Linked DNA regions of Mus musculus. Each later gene encodes a partner of the first gene's protein in a complex. Links are inferred from orthologs where the notes say so. Each region holds a gene or a part of one and is shown in the gene's direction. Other genes may lie near its edges.

Region 1 (4,537 bases):
GGGGGGGGGGACACGACACACACAACTCTACCCCCTCTGTGGCAATCCAGGAACACTGCTCAACAGGGAGTTCTACACACACAACCCCCCCCCCCCCAAACCCTACCCTTGTACCTGGCAAGCTGGCTATATTGGCCCAAAAGATCCCCATTCAGTGGTTCGGACAGGAGTAATGTCTCGGCAGGGTTTCGTGCAATAAAGTCAAATGCCTCAGGCAGAAAGGCCAGGCAAGCACCCAGTCTGGCAGCCTCTTGAACCAACTCAGCACATGTTTTAAAGTTCTCTTGCTTGTTTGGTGTTGATGTTACCTGGCACACAGCCACCAGGGGCAGCTCCCAGGAAGTTGATGAGGACATGGTTCTGGGCCTGTGAATGACACAGGCAGTATCCTCAGATTTTCTATCTAGGAGAAACTCAGAGGCTCAAGTGGGGGTGGAGCCAGAAACTTTATTTTCTTTTGACTTTTTTCTTTTTTGAGACACGGTCTTTTGTAGCCCAGACAGGCCTTTCTATGTAACTGGGGATGACCTTAAACTCCTGGTTGATCCTCCTTTTTTTCGAGTGCTGGCATTACAGGTGACCCCAGCAACTTGTTTTCATTCTTACAGAGCATAATAACCCTAGAGCTACTGGAGTTCACTCATTACATGTTTGGAGATATCTTTGTCTCCCACTATGAAGTTAATAAACACGAACTAAGCAGCTATGCGCCAGAGAGAGAACATTACGAAATATGTTACCTGGGCTGAGTACAAAGTACTGGGGTTCGAAGTAATCGGTATCCGGTACACAGGAGTTGGTGAGGAGGCCTGGTGATGAAGCCCAGCCTGAAGAAGGTGAGAAATCAGGACACCTAACCCTCTTTCAAGCCGTAAGTTTCTAGAATTCTCTGCCATTTCCAGGCCTGGCCAGTAATCCCCTCCCCCAAGGCTTCGAAAATACTTTTTACTACTAGTAGCTAGGAAAAGATATAAAATGGGAAAATGGGAGAGGCGACTATGATCGGTGCCTTAATACCTCAACTTCCAGTGATCTCACATTAAAACTGAAGCCCTTTTTCCTTTGCCAAACGTTTCCGCAGTTCAAGTCATCTCATGGAACCTTCCTCGTTTCCCCAATTCTCTTCTCGGCTGTGCCACCTGCACAGCTTTATAGACTCAACACGTATCTTTCCCCTTATACCCGAATCTCAGAAGGAAAGTTCACCCTCCCTAGATCTCCACCATCTCATGGTGGGTAGATGGGTACAGGACCAGATCCCAACCCGAGCCCCCGCCCTCTGATTAGCGCGTCCTTCCCCGCCTCTCCCCCCCGGGCAAGAATCTCTGTTGCACAAGTTAAAGCATCGCAGGTGGAATTCACCGCAGCGGGCAGGGTTTGGGAGTAGGTCCTACATGAAGACACAGCCAAAACCATTCACGGGGTCGGATCTCAAGAGCTGCCAGGAGCCAGGAGCGCAGGAGCAAGTGGGCGGTAACCCCCCGGCCGGATGTGACGCAGTGAGAGTGCGCAGGCCGGAAAGCTTGCAGGTGGGGAAGATGGCGGACAGCAGCGGTCGTGTGGGCAAGAGCGGCGGGAGCGGCGCGGGGAAGGGGGCGGTGTCGGCGGAACAGGTGAGGAGCCGCGAGCGCACAAGGCACCCGGGGCGGTGTCGAATTCGTGTAGAAGATAAGATTTGTGGCTCGAAGGGGCCTTTAGTCCTTTCCACGGTCTCCATGGGCACGCACGGGGGAGAGGGGGTCTCTGGAGGTGATCACGAACCTTTCTAGAGCCTGGGTAGGTAGGGGAGAGGCACGCCCGCGGTGTGGGTGGGTAGTCAAGGGAGAAAGCCCTGAGCTGCAGGGTCTGGGAGGGTTGGCCAGGTCTCTGAGAAGATGGATCGTAGTTTGCCCCCTCTCCGAGGTACCCTAAAGAGCGTATGGTGTTTGGCGTGGCATCTAGTAACGAATTCCAAGCTGTTCTTAGTCAGTGAGTGGCTTATGTAGTTCATGGCTCAAAAACCGTGTTCACCATCACCAACACGCTGCAGAGCCACGTGACTCAGACTCTGAGCAGTTTAGTGTTCCGTAAATTATTTTGACTAAGGAGTCTGTGGTTTGTTTGTTTGTTTGTTTTGTCTTGGAGGTGGGGATGAGGGTTGCTATAGGGTCGGGTCCGGCCTTGGCTTTTCCGGAATTCACTTTGTAGACCAAACTGGCCTGGAAGATCCGCTTGCCTCTGCCTCCCACATACTGCGATTAAAGGCTCGGATTATTTCGTCTTTGAGACACGGTCTTACTAAGTGGCCTACGCTGGCCTCGAGCTTGCTCGGTGTGCTCTCTTTGCAAAGATTGACTTCGGAAGAGGGCAGAACCCACCCCCCACCCCCTCTCTCTTTCTCTTTCTCTCTTTCTCTCTTTCTCTCTCTCTCTCTCTCTCTCTCTCTCTCTCTCTCTCTCTCTCTCTCTCTCTTTCTTTCTTTCTTTCTTTCTTTCTTTCTTTCTTTCTTTCTTTCTTTCTTTCATGTGTGAGTACACTGTAGCTGTCTTCAGACACTCCAGAAGATGGAGTCCGATCTCATTACGGATGGTTGTGAGCCACCATGTGGTTGCTGGGATTTGAACTTTGGAAGAGCAGTCGGTGCTCTTAACAGCTGAGCCATCTCACCAGCCCCAGAAGAGTAATTTTAATCATAGGTACATTTGTCAGTTGGTTGTTGAACAATTCCTACAGGTAAAAGCATCAGCATAAAGAGTCTAAAACCCACACTGTCAAAGAGTTAGAAAGTAAGTGTTCAGGGAGAACTGAAGTGCAGGGGAATTCTGGAGATGGAAGAGGGTGTAGCCTCTGACATAGTGGGAAGGAAAAAATGCTAATGCTTTGGAGAGTCCGTCTTGTGTTTGGCTTTGCTTAACCCAGAGGAACAGGTAAATGAAATAGACCTTGTCTTAAACTTGGTCACAGCCAAGTGTGGTGGCCCATACCCATAATCCCCCTGGATTACCCTGTCAGTTCCAGGCTAGCCTGGGTTACAGAGTAAAACACAGTCTCAAAAACAAAACAATGAGACTTTATGTGTGTTTGCATGTGTATGTGCATATACCACATGTGTGCAGGAGCCCTCAGAGACCAGAAGAGTGGTCAAAACCTCTGATAACTGCCTATTAGCTACCATGAGGGTGCTGAGAACCAAACCCAGGTCCTCCGCTATAAAAGTAATCGTTCTTCCACCGAGCCATTTCTCCAACCCTACACTACAAACTTCTGCACATAATGAACTTTTCTTGCACAGTTTGGAGAGAGAGTCCAAAGTAGTGTAGATTTCGGATGTGGCAGGTAAGTAGGCAAGGGAATGGCGGGTAGTGGAATGGTTGGGAGGGTTTCCTGGCCTAGAATCAGAATGACCTGTGCTTGCTTTGTATTTCTTATTTATATATGATTTCTCTTGTTACCTTTTACCCTCGTCTATCTGTAAAAGCACAGTAGTTTTCCATTTCGTAACTAGAGTACTAGGCAAGAAAATCCATTTGGGTTTTGTTTTGTTTTGTTTTTTTCCACCATGACTAAATACAGAGACTACATAGTGTGTTTAACAAATGCTACTTAGAGCTGGAGAGATGGCCTCTGCACTCGAGCACCTGATCTCGCACAGACAGACACACTTGCACGCACATAATCTGAACAGTCTTTCTAAATGCTAATTTCCTTTTATTTTCTAGATTTTTTGGCTTAATTCTAAAGGCTGGGAAAAGTTAGTCATGTGAAGATTTTTTTTCGTTAGAAGTAGTGTGTTCAAAAGCATTGAGCCATGAACTGCTTGGCATTGAAAATGCTGGAGAATTTAAAGAGATATATTGCAAGACCTAAAGAGATACAGTCAACTTTGTTCTTTGACACAGGGTTTTTCACGTGGCCTAGAACTCACCAGGTAGGCTAGGATGGCTGACCAGAGAGTCCATTGATCCTCCCTTTCCTCAGCACTGGGAAAACAAGCCTCAGAATTTAAGTTCACTAGCATTCCAGTGCCAGGCAGTTCATGCCTCAGTACCATGCCTGCCTGCCTGCCTGCCTTTTTTTTCCCTCCTCCTCCTCCTCCTCCTCCTCCTCTTCCTCCTCCTCTTCTTTTTTCTCCTCCTCCTCCTCCTCTTCCTTCTTAAAAAGTGTGTTCTGGGGCTCAAACCCTGGTTCTTTGGCTCTTTACCTGTGAAATTTTCTTCCCAGCCCAATTTAAGGTTTATTACTGATGTGTGTGTTAGCCTAGTGTGTCTCTCACAAGGAAAATAGGAGCAGGTAATACTTCGTACTAGGTGCTTGTTTTATTTTCTGTTCTTTATCATTTATTGGTTTACTATTGTTGTTTTGTCTGAGATAGGCTCTCCCTCTGGAACTTGCTGTGTAGACCGTGCTACTTTAGGCCTTGCTATTCTTGGCTTTGTGAGCCTGTGCAATGAAAAGTAGCTATTTACTTCCAGCATGTAATGCAGAGGCAGGCAAAGGGTAGCCATTCCCATTCTAAGAGAGAGGTAAAGCAGGGGAAGGCTTAAGTCTGAATTCCAAG
Region 2 (4,447 bases), about 120 Mb from region 1:
ACATAGTGTTTGTCTTTGACACTGAGGTGTGTTTCCTATATGCAGCAAAATGTTGGGCCCAGTTTACATATCCAGTCTGTTAGTCTATGTCTTTTTATTGGGGGGATTGAGTCCATTGATGTTAAGAGAAATTAAGGAATAGTGATTGCTGCTTCCTATTATTTTTTATGTTATTTTTATGTTTGTGTGGTTATCTTCTTTTGGGTGTGTTGAAAGGAGATTACTTTCTTGCTTTTTCTAGGGTGCAGTTTCCCTCCTTGTGTGGGTGTTTTCCATCTATTATCCTTTATAGAGCTAGATTTGTGGAAAGACACTGTGTACATTTTGTTTTGCCATGGAATATCTTTGTTTCTCCATCTATGGTAATTGAGGGTGTTGCTGTAATAGTAGTCAGGGCTGCTATTTGTGGTCTCTTAGGGTCTGTATGACATCTGCCCAGGATCTTCCAGCTTTCATAGTCTCTGCTGAGAAGTCTGGTGTAATTCTGATAGGTATGACTTTGCATGTTACTTCACCCTTTTTCCTTACTGCTTTTAATATTCTTTTGTTTGTTTGTTTGTTTAGTGCATTTGGTATTTTGATTATTATGTGATGGGAGGAATTTCTTTTCTGGTCCAATTTATTTGGAGTTCTGTAGGCTTCTTGTATGTTCATGGGCATCAAATTCTTTAGGTTAGGAAAGTTTTCTTGTTTAATTTTGTTGAGGATATTTACTGACCATTTAAGTTGGGAATCTTCACTCTCTTCTATACCTGTTATCCTTAGATTTGGTCTTGTCATTGTGTCCTGGATTTCCTGGATATTTTGGGTTAGGAGCTTTTTGCAATTTGCATTTTCCTTGACTGTTGTTTCAATGTTTTCTATGGTATCCTCTGCACCTGAGATCTGCATCTGGTATGTCTTAAGACAGAGACAGTGAACTCATCATATACATAAAATAAGTAAATCTGAAGAAGAAGAGGAGGAGGGGAGGGGAGGAGGAGGAGGAGAAGGAGGAGGAGGAGGGGGAGGAGGGAAGGGACGAGAAGAAGAGGAAGAGAAGGAGGAGGAGGAAGAGGAAGGGGAGGGGAGAGGAGGGGGAAGGGGATGAGAAGAAAAAGAAGAAGAGGAAGAAGGAGGGGGAGGAGGAGGAAGGGGGAGGGGGAGGAGGAGAAGAAAACCAAATTTAAGAGTATTAAATTATAGTGATTTATTTTTACATAGGATCCACTAGGGGGCGATACAGACCATTCATAGATTCTGCAGCCAAGCCACACCTACATTTAGCAGAAAACCATTTTGCAGTGGAGCACAACTCTTAATTCGACTTTTCACAACCCACCCCGCGCGCGCTTGCCACTGCGCAGGCGTGAGTGTGCGCACTCCATTGGTCGGGGTGCCGGAAGGGGCGGATTCCTGAGTGGAACCCAGGCTTCCTGCCGGGGCTGCTGGCTGCCGTTCCTTCCTCAGTCGCGGTTCTTGGCGTGCGGCGCGGCTAGGCGATGCCCAGCAGTGGGGTGCACGCCGATGGCCGCGCCGCGCCGGGGCCCCCACACACATCGACTGCGCACGCCGAGTCCCTTAGCAGCAAGGTGCCGTGGGACGCCGGGGAAGGGTGGTGGGCGGCGGGCCCCGCTGTGCCCTGTAGCCTCCGCCGTGCATTCTCAGCACCAGCAGCTGATTCCCCTCCATCCTGCAGGTTTGCGACGATGGAGGCGTGTCCCCTGAAAAAAAGTGACACACAGATGTGTTGCTCAGTCACACACAGATCTGTTGCTCTGTGGCTGTGCTTCATCCAGTTAGCCACGCACCCGCCTGGGTGCCATCCATGACGTCCATCATAAAAGTTTAGAAGTCTGTACCTGTTCTTCCAGACTCAGGCAAAAGCTTCTTAGCCGATTTTCTCAGCTGCCTGTTACCTTAAAATATATTCTCAACTTTAAGTGATCCTAAAAACATCTGTTTGGTCATCTCTTTATTATTCAACAAGAGAAAGGAGCACCCTATCAAATTAATTTTTTTCTATACCTTTAGGATAGGATTTCATAAATAACTCAGGCCAGCCTCAGATATTATTGCTTAGGCATTACTTGAATAATTCTCTTGCCTAATAGCCAGGATTTCAGGGAGGCAACCCCATACCGGAACTAGTCCTAACTTCCAGTTACAGACGAAAATCTTTAAACGTGTAGAGTGGAAGGGTGTGGGTATAGTCTTTTCAGATATTAAACATTCCTAAATTCTGTATTTTTTCTGTCCTATATGATATCTTCAGTACATTGCCTAATTCCCGCTGTACCACAGTGTACTGTGGTGTCACCTAAAGTGACACCTGTCATTCCTGTAATGAGCATAAAAACACTGTACAAGCAGACTTGAATCTCAAGGAAAGCGTACTCAATATGGCTTTGTAGGTTATTAGTACAGCTCTCAGGACTTAATAGACTATTTGCCTAGCTTAACGATACCAGCAATATGCAGTCCTTAATACTTGAAATAGAATGATACAGTGGTGGAAAATCATGTTGGATCAGTGCAGGTAGGGCATTCAGTACCATAGTACCATTTCATTTGTTTTATCCGAATGTCTGGCTGTCATCTAGTGCATACATCATAAAACCATTGGTTGTTGGTAAAGAGGAGAACCCACATTCATTTTATTTCTCTCTTTTTGTCTACAGCAAGACCTTATAAAACTAAAAGATTGGGTTTTTGTTGTTTTCGGGAGAGGTTTTGTTTGTTTTTGGTTCTTTTGTTTGGTTGTTTTTTGTTTTTTTCAAGACAGGGTTTCTCTGTGTAGCTCTGGCTGTCACAGAACTCAGTCTGTAGACCAGGCTGGCCTCGAACTCAGAAATCTGCCTGCCTCTGCCTCTCAAGTGCTGAGATTAAAGGCGTGCGCCACCACTGCCTGGCTTAAAAGATTGGTATTAATTTGGGTAGGCAGTGGCTCACCCTGGTTAAAGATGTGAGCTGTGGTAACTGACCCCTGGCAAGCCTATGCTTCTCCTTCTCAAGCTGTCTTCTACTGATTCCAGACTGAGTGCTGTTGATTTGTTCAGTGTCCATTTAGACAGGCAGTCCATTATAGCCCCCAACCCCATCTTTAGTTTTAAAGCAGTGACTTAAAATGTTCTCGCTAAACATACTTTGAAATCTTCCACTTTAGATTTTTTTCTTTACTTTAATAGATTAAAGAACAGAAAATTATTGTGGATGAACTTTCTAATCTAAAGAAGAATCGGGTGAGTTGCTGTGGAAATCTGAATAGTATATTAAAATTATGATTTCGATTATTTATGCTAACATTACAAAATTCAAAGATCATAATTTAAAAGCTAACGTGGTATCCTAGTTTGTTTTTGCATGTTTTAAATTTGTTTTTCCTGTATATGTCAATAGATCTCAAAGATAAAAAAATATTTATTATATTTTAACAAAAAAGAATGAAGTTTTTCACAGAAAACTTTACTATTCTAAATACTTAACCCATTTAATGCCTTTTTTATGAATATGTTCAGAAATCAGCTGCGATTATGTAATGACTGACATTCTTGACATTTCTGATATTGTCATTTGGGATATATTAGATGCTAAGGCAAATTAATACAAATTTTTGGAGATCAAACTGTCAAAATGTGTAAATGCTGTTTGACACTTCTGAGTAACTGGTGTGTAAGCAGTTGTGAGGGTGCATGTGTGTTTACACGTAGAGGCGCTCATCAGCACCTGTAGTGACGATACAGTAAGTGTCTGAAGCTTGAGGCCAGCAAAGAACTATAGTGTTGTACCCATATGGTCAGAAAAGGTCTCCATGTATTATTCATTTATGAAGTAAATTATAAATCTGTGGCTATGATAGCTTTTGTTACTGAAAGTGTGTGGTATGATGATGCATGCTAAGTAAACAACCAGTTCTGGGTGGCGTAGTATTCAGTGGCTTTGTTTCTCTGTGGTAATTACTGTTCTGAATATTCCTGAAGTTCAAGAATAAATGATAACAGGATCCTGTTCAGCATCAGTGTGCATGTCATACCCTGATCTTGTCAATTTCGTTTGCAGAGAGTATACAAGCAGCAACAGAACAGCAACATATTCTTTCTTGAAGATCGAACAAAAATCTTTTCTGAAAGCAAAAGTGAGTGGTGGTCGTCTTGGTTTTTGTTTTCAGAGTTATATATGGAATGCTACAGAAAACCTTTTGTAAGCTTTTTGTGGGGATTCATAATGGTGCCTCAGTTAAGCCCTATCTGAATAAATGTGTGTGTTGATTTAGTACAGTGGTCTGTTTTCCAGTTAGACTTCCAAAGATATGTACAGTGGGTTGTTTATTGGTTTTTGGTTTTTGGGGGGGTTTTTTGGTTTTGGTTTTGGTTTTGGTTTTTTGGGGAGAGGGGGTGGCAGGGGGAGTCCTTTAAGACAGAGTTTCTCTGTGTAGCCTTGGCTGTCCTGAAACTTAGTGTATGGATCA

What was found.
Region 2: Pfdn2 (region 1) and Asdurf share a complex: the UniProt entries of both Homo sapiens proteins name them as parts of the PAQosome complex. The link is inferred for Mus musculus from reciprocal best matches to the Homo sapiens genes PFDN2 and ASDURF.

What each region holds. Positions count from the first base shown.
Region 1 is NC_000067.6:171,344,174-171,348,710, forward strand, and holds the start of Pfdn2 (prefoldin subunit 2), read left to right. Parts: upstream 1-1,501; 5' UTR 1,502-1,538; coding exon 1,539-1,613; intron 1,614-4,537. Other genes in the region: Nit1 (deaminated glutathione amidase), read right to left, coding at 115-366, 741-827, 1,395-1,396. UniProt on the Homo sapiens protein: Binds specifically to cytosolic chaperonin (c-CPN) and transfers target proteins to it. Binds to nascent polypeptide chain and promotes folding in an environment in which there are many competing pathways for nonnative proteins.
Region 2 is NC_000067.6:53,349,654-53,354,100, reverse strand, and holds the start of Asdurf (ASNSD1 upstream open reading frame protein), read left to right. Parts: upstream 1-1,348; 5' UTR 1,349-1,481; coding exon 1,482-1,571; intron 1,572-3,167; coding exon 3,168-3,221; intron 3,222-4,038; coding exon 4,039-4,114; intron 4,115-4,447.